2 linked regions of the Solanum lycopersicum genome follow. The protein of the gene in region 2 interacts with the protein of the main gene of each other region in a pairwise test. Links are inferred from orthologs where the notes say so. Each region holds a gene or a part of one and is shown on either strand. Other genes may lie near its edges. The genes, in order: plastid division protein CDP1, chloroplastic; protein ACCUMULATION AND REPLICATION OF CHLOROPLASTS 3, chloroplastic.

The links.
Region 1: the proteins of protein ACCUMULATION AND REPLICATION OF CHLOROPLASTS 3, chloroplastic (region 2) and plastid division protein CDP1, chloroplastic interact in binary tests that used the Arabidopsis thaliana proteins (3 or more experiments, as listed by UniProt). The link is inferred for Solanum lycopersicum from reciprocal best matches to the Arabidopsis thaliana genes ARC3 and PARC6.

Annotation. Positions count from the first base shown.
Region 1 is NC_090802.1:57,727,137-57,730,481, forward strand, and holds part of plastid division protein CDP1, chloroplastic, read right to left. Parts: intron 2,746-3,345; coding exon 2,632-2,745; intron 2,554-2,631; coding exon 2,416-2,553; intron 2,324-2,415; coding exon 2,219-2,323; intron 2,124-2,218; coding exon 2,001-2,123; intron 1,601-2,000; coding exon 1,232-1,600; intron 1,017-1,231; coding exon 921-1,016; intron 836-920; coding exon 716-835; intron 347-715; coding exon 281-346; intron 201-280; coding exon 1-200. UniProt on the Arabidopsis thaliana protein: Component of the plastid division machinery required for PDV1 localization to constriction sites. Involved in chloroplast division site placement. Required for the proper formation of FtsZ rings at the division site in nongreen plastids (e.g. etioplasts).
Region 2 is NC_090800.1:2,349,179-2,353,004, reverse strand, and holds part of protein ACCUMULATION AND REPLICATION OF CHLOROPLASTS 3, chloroplastic, read left to right. Parts: intron 1-537; coding exon 538-602; intron 603-1,931; coding exon 1,932-2,066; intron 2,067-2,887; coding exon 2,888-2,936; intron 2,937-3,426; coding exon 3,427-3,539; intron 3,540-3,703; coding exon 3,704-3,775; intron 3,776-3,826. UniProt on the Arabidopsis thaliana protein: Together with MIND1 and MCD1, regulates FtsZ ring positioning in chloroplasts in an ARC6-dependent manner. Z-ring accessory protein involved in the initiation of plastid division and division site placement (might functionally replace bacterial MinC).

The sequences.
Region 1 (3,345 bases), on a different chromosome or scaffold from region 2:
AAATTAGGTGGAGCTAACTGCTTTACAGCTGACCCGAGATGCCGTGAAGTATCACCATACGGAAGTGGTTCATCTGTAGCTCTTTGGTCCCGTGTAATAGCAGGTGCAAGTGGCCTATGACTAATTTGAGATGCAGTCTGCAGACCTCTTTTATTTCCCTTGCTCACGAAAGGTCGTTTCTCGCCGCGAAAGAAGTTTACCTGTTGCAAATCTTTAGAGTTAGTTTAGCTCTCTACAATGAGGTACTTTTTGAATCAAAACATTTCATAACATGACTCACTAATGACGGAGAACAATCCCTCGTATCAGGGAACAAGCCAAGCACAGCATCCTTCAACCAGGTCTCCTGGAAAGCCACAAGATGTTATGATGAGAAACATTTGACTTCAACTCAACAAAAGACTTATCCCAGATAGAAACATCACCCTTGGATAAAAAAATAGAAACAAGTTTTGCTTATATCATTATCTATGGTCAGAAAATCCTAATTTTGTTTACAAAAAGGTGGACTCTGCAAAAGAGCAACATGTCAACAACTATAAATTGGTGCTGAGGAGTTAGGGTCACGGAGAAGTGCATTTATATTTTTAAAAGAGAAAAAAGTAATGACCCCTAAAGAATATAAAATGAAATAAATGCAGAGGGAGAAACCAGGAAACCAGCCTATATGAACCACATAGTTTCAGAGACTGATTAACAGCATGTAAATACATACCAGTGGTTTTGATACAGTTGAAACATCTTTCGTTTCTTTGACCGATGCTAAATTACGTGAAGCTGTATCTGAGTTCAGCTCAAGCTGCCGAAGCTTTTCAGTAGCTGCAGCTTCATCACCCTGTATTAACAAAATTTACTTTTCTCAATAAACACTGAAGGGAAAGGAAATACATAGCCAGTGAAAGAGGAAATTACAGATTCACCTGCCCAAGAAGGAACAACAAGAAAGCTTCCTCAAATTTCAAATCAACTCCTTCTGAAGCGATCAAACACTCACAAATTATTTTGGATTTGTTAATCTGCAATAAACAATTGAATTTTTTTGTCAACATGTTACTGCATCCGGAATCCTGGCATTTTCAGGTAAAACATCTAGCAAGATATTGGAATTGCGTTACACACAGAGAGTTGATGCAATTTAACCTTATATCTTAATAGAGTCAAAACACTTTATTGCGGTCAACTTCAGCAAGTGAAAATCAAAGAACAAAGAATAGACCAACGTCGTAATTACCAGATCAATCTGCTTGCTGGAAAATCCTAGGGCAATATGAGCTAATAAAACCACGTAGAAACAGTTGAAATCAATTACAACTCTTTGGTTTTGTGACTCAATGGACTTTTTGTTCTTCCTTGTGACAGCCAAATTATCCCACTGAAGGAGTTCAACAATCTCCGAAGCCATAAGCTTATTAAGAGCTTGATTTAAGAAGCATTGCCAATCCTGAACTTGGCAGGAAGCTTCTACGTCAAGGCCCTGTCTGAGCAATTCACGTAATGCTGCAATGGCTCCTAACCTCCGCTCAGCATTTTCAGGTGTACGAGGCAGGCCTAATAACTCCAAGGTGCAGGCAGGAGCGAGCTCTTCCAACGATTCTTCTATCTAAGCGCAAGGTAAAATATAATCCCAATGAGAAATAAGAAACAGCACATCAGAGAAGTATTTGCACTAAATGTTGCAGAGACTGAAAACACCAACAAAACTTCCAAGTCTCCAACTATAGACATAACATCATAGCTACACATTTTTACAGAGAGAATCTTCTATATTTAACTCAAGCTAGGTTTTTAGTCTACTGCAATTGCTATTATAATGATAAAGAAATCTACTGATGATGAGATGGATGCAAAAAAATTGATGCACATTCACATAGCAAAGCCTTAGCCCTTAAATATCTAAACTACGGCACTTACATGTAAAATGAAAAATAAGATGAAGAAAAAATACAAATTTCGCCTTCACAAAATCTGGATATAAGACAGCAGAACTAAGACAAGCTAACCTGAGATAATAATGTCATCTTCCCAAGAGAAACTTTGCTCCTTAAAAGACATTGAGCACGAGCAAGAGCTTCAAATCCTTGTGAAATTCTGTTCTTCTCAAATCCAACTTTTGCAATTGCACACTTCAAGAAAGCACCTAGAATAAGAAACCCAAGCATAACACAGATCCCAAGAAAAAGACAGCATAGAGTTATGATATTTTCTCTCTTTGCCTAACCTCAGCAAGTGCCATGGACAAAAGAATATCATGAACATAAGGCTTAGAATCTGGATGTTGAAGAGCTTTCTGTCCAATATTTAGCACAAGCTTCTCTTCCCCGACCTGAATGAATAATGTTAACATTTTAAATAATCATTTTCGCACAAACTTGCAATGAAAGTAATCCGCTTGCTCAATAGTGTATTGTATCTTACCTCTTGAAGAAGACAAAGAGCACTAGATAACCAAGCCCATGGTATTCTAAGAGAAGACCTTGGTGGAACCCTTTCTTTTATATTTCCGGCATATTCTGGCTCAAACAAAAGCTTATCCCTCACATCCATTAAAAGATTCTGAAAACATGTAGCCAAGCATGAGAATACAGGATAACCTCTATAAGAAAGATGAATATGTAGGACTGCAGCTACCACCTGGCGAGAAACAACAGCATCCATGGTGTATCCATCTTCAATCTCAGCATTCTTGAGATGCATTACCGACTTGACAATTTCATCCTTCTCAGCTCGGTCTGAGACACCGATGATCTGCAAGTTAATACAAAATTGAGGATCATTTCTTGGAAATAGAAATGTCCTTCCTCCCCTTACCTCTAGCTTTAGTACCACTTTCTTGGACATCAAATCAATTTTGCTAGACTTAGTACACAACAATTATATTCCCACTTGAAAGCACTGGCCCAGTAAGGAAAAGCACATAAAAAGTAAATAAAAAGAGAAGAGATTGTTTATCTATAATGTAGCATCCAAGAAGGTGCAAATAACTATAAAAAGGATCCATGCTCTCCTCTCACTGACATAAATAGTCCATAGGTACAGTATATCCATATTGTTTGCATTGTTTATCCTATACTTTGTATTGTATACGGCCTCATTTTTTCCTTCACGAAACTTAGAACTTTTTTTTAGAAGGCTTCCTGCATGCGAAGTATGGAATATGGAATGTGTAGAACAGAGACAGGTAATAATGAAATATACTTACTCTATATAGTTGACCTATATTCAAACCCCTTCTTCAATGCATTTATGTAGTATCTGGATATTATAAACCCTTTTTTTAACACATGGCCACTAAGTTTTAAATGTTAAACCAAAATGACATACCTCCTCCGTCCAATTTACATGGCA
Region 2 (3,826 bases):
GCACTGATATGGACCATATGGAGAGAGAGGAACAAGAGATCTTTTGATGAAATAGAAGATGTTGTACACTTGAGAAATAGCCTCTTTTTCCTTAGTTTTTTCTGGTGCACCCATGAAGTTACTATTTATATAGATGATCGGGTGGCTTTCGTAGGAAATCATTTATTTTTGAATGATTTTTTACTTGTTGGTAATACCTTTGTATACGTAAGTTAATGCTCTTTTGTTTATAATAACCTTACTTCATCTGGAAAAAAATAGTTATCCCACATGGGTTATGCAAGAGTTCTCAAAGAAGTTAATAAACATCTTGAGCAATTCCAGTCAATGCCTTAAGGTGGTGGGTTGGATGCTTAGATTCTTCCCCATGCCAAGAGATCCTTATGCAGCTTTAAAATTTCTTGATACCTTTTAAGATGAGTCATGAGCCAAGCTCTAAGATTGTCCAACTACTGTTCTTGTCTATCTTATTCTTTGCTGCCTCCTCCCCTTCTATCTGTTATGAACTTTAAGCTTTTCTCGTAACTTCTTTTGCAGATGTTTCTTCAAGAATTGTGGAAGTTCCATCAGCAATAAATTCATGTTCCAAAGCAGTTATACTTGTTTGTACATTCCTCAACTCTTATCCCTAAGATCTCCTTTTATTACCAGTGATTATTGAGTAAAGGTACTATCTAATGTGAATTTAATGAAAACACTCACTTGGATGGGTAACATAGGACGGTGTTCCTTTGTTTTCCGCTAAGGCAGACATGAGTAGTGGACAAGAGTCAGGGAATGCGTAGATGGTCATGAATAAGATCACGGACCAAGGATTTGCTCTGTTCTTGAACAAAATCATGTGTCTATATCTTCAGTTTTAGTATCTAGTACTTCCCGGCTTATTGTGAAAGTAACTTCAGCATCTATATAGAGGGTTTAAGTGTTGTTGTATTAGAATGGCATTAGAGCAAACACATGCATGATATGCAGGGGCTTCAATGATTTTCTACTGCTTAGACTTCATCATTAGGTTTATATGGATATCTAAGAAATCATATCTGAAATATGTCCAACATTGCAGCAGATGAGTAACAAAGTGGTGAAAGGAGAGAAACATTAGGAATCTTTCCTTGATTTCTTCCTTAAGGTTTGCAGAAGCTGCAGCATTAGAAACTGATGTTATAAATCTTAGAACATGTTTCAAAGAGTAAGCAATATGACTTATATGATTTACTGTACTTCCTCCTATCTCTCTAAGTTAACAAGTGCCGTTTTAAACCTACAAGAATTTTGGAACATGTGCTGTAGTCATAACCTGATCAATCCTCCAATTTGAGTTGCTGAGAGGTACCTTGATAAACCACTGAACCAAGCTCTGGCATAACTTAAGTCACAAGCTACACAACGCTACTATGACCAACAATGCTTGAACTATTAAGCTCTATATTGTTGCTTTTGAATGTCTCTAGCTACAATGCTACTTTATGTTCAGGGTCAAAACTTTCTTGTGAAGAAATGTGGATGATTTCTACCATAAGAGACCTCAAGTTTTTGTAGCTAAAGAGACAGAAATCTGTTTTGCCTCTGATTTACCTTTTGCTTTCAAATAGAGGCTGTCCTATAGAACAGTTTGATAGATAAGTCAGAATTGTATTTTTTCGAATTTTTGAGAGTATTTAATGAAACCATTAGCAAAATAAGAACGGAAGAAGTTGAATTGGCTTCACTTAGTAATGATGAAGTCAAATGAAATATTTGTCTAGAGTCTTACAACTTTTAATTGGGGGCAGTAACTTCTTTGAGAAACTATGCCTGTGCTAGTATGAAAGGAAATGAAATCTAGAAGATTTGTAAAGAAAACATTTTCTTTTTTCACCATCTCAATTTACGTTGCTTTAATTGTATATTCTTTTTAGCCAAAATTGTTGTTTTCCTTGTTGCTTCTTTAGGTGGCTAGTGCAGCTTATGGCACCGATCATGTCCCAGCACTTGATATTATAAGGAAATTAAAGTCCAGAAATGGACTAGCGGTCGGCATCATTCTGAAACCTTTCAGCTTTGAAGGACGAAGGCGCTATGATGAGGTATTATACTTTTGTTTTGGGAAATGATGCTGCTGAATAGATCTTTTTGTGGAAGGATATTAGGCGAAAAAATGCAAACAACAAAGTTGATTCATGATGGAAGCAATTTTATTTTTAAATCCTCATTGGTTGTAAAGAATACGAGCCATTGACAATGTTGTATGGACTAAGCAGTTTGTTGTTCTACTTTAAAGTAATGAAGATACTCGAGATACACATATTGTATATGTCATACCTGTCAAAACATTGATAACCTATTGAGATGGTGTTTTATTTAATGTGTTCATGCATAAACAACTTGAAGTCATAAACACGGTGTACTATATTGTAGGTCATATGCTATGGTGGTATAGGTAGGCAAGAACATCTAAGGATATAGCCGTAGTGCACCATGCGTATGTTATCTAATGGGGAAAACTGACCAATGCTTTCCCATTTTCGGATTAAAACAGATCAATATACAACAGACATGCCACCTTTATCAATAATAATTTTTTTTAAGATGATCAATAATAGTATTCCAGTTAGACCTACTGATTCACAAAAAAAAAGAAGAAAAGAAACATGGTAGACCTACAAATGGCTTTAGGTTCCGTTTTATTTCATTTTACTTCTATCTTTATCTTTGATGGAATGGAGGACATTTCTAGAAGTTCAAGAAAGTTGGGGTTTATTTATGTTGAAGTTACATTAGGCACTATTAAAGATGTTTGTGTTTGGAATTTGATTTTCCTTAGTTGAATTTCAGTTTTCGAATGCTTTTCACAATATTACCAGCCTTGTCTTTGACCAATATTCTTGATGGTTCATCCTACTTACAGGTCACAGATTTGATTGACAAACTTCAAAAGCATGCAACTGTTTGTATAGGTCAGTTGAACTTCACATATTACAGTATAAGCTTATCTGCAGCTCATACAAATTTGCCGATACTAATATCATAGGGGAGGTCCTTGCTTCTACACTGTTATTTTAGTGCACCCTCATCCATTAGAAGTTTTAACGAGCACATGTCTACTTTGTCATTACTTTAATTACGTGCTGTTAAAGCTTTGCATGACTACAAGTGTCATTGAGATCAATTAAATTGATTATTTGTGAAAATTAACAGTTTTGCCAGTAATGGTTCAGCTATTCTGGAATACCTTTAATTCGTGAATGCATAATATGACGTTTTTTTTGAAGATTGGGTGTTGTTTGTAGAGAATCATACCTTTTTTAGGTTTTACTGGGTATTCTTGTATGCGGGTGTTTTTATGCCCAAACTTCTAACAAAAAATTTTACTTTATAGAAAGAAGAGTCTGTTAGCAACTCTGCCATAGTTCCCAGATTGTGATGTTTTTTAATTTGGGTTTGCAGTTATTGACACTGATGGTCTTCTCAAGAAAGATCTTTTAACTCTGGATGAAGCTTTGAAGACTTCATATAATGCTGTTCTAATGGCTGTTAATGCCATTTCAATTCTTATGTCTGTAAGTTGTTTTTTTCTCCAATAAGTCTCTTGATTCTTTTTTCCTCTCTTTTCCTTTTCTTCTTTTTTCTGCTTTCTGGCTCTTGTTTTCTTAGTGCCTTGTACAACTTTTGATTAATGAATTTATCTAATATCTGTCTGTCTGTAAACTTGCAACAATAACAGGAGGACCACATAAAGCTTCTAGATGCGACAGATTGTGGTACAAAAGAACTGAGTGGTCCAGAGCTAATAAAAGTAAGAACTATAATCTTGTTTTACGTAGTAAGTTGAATTGCTGATAACATA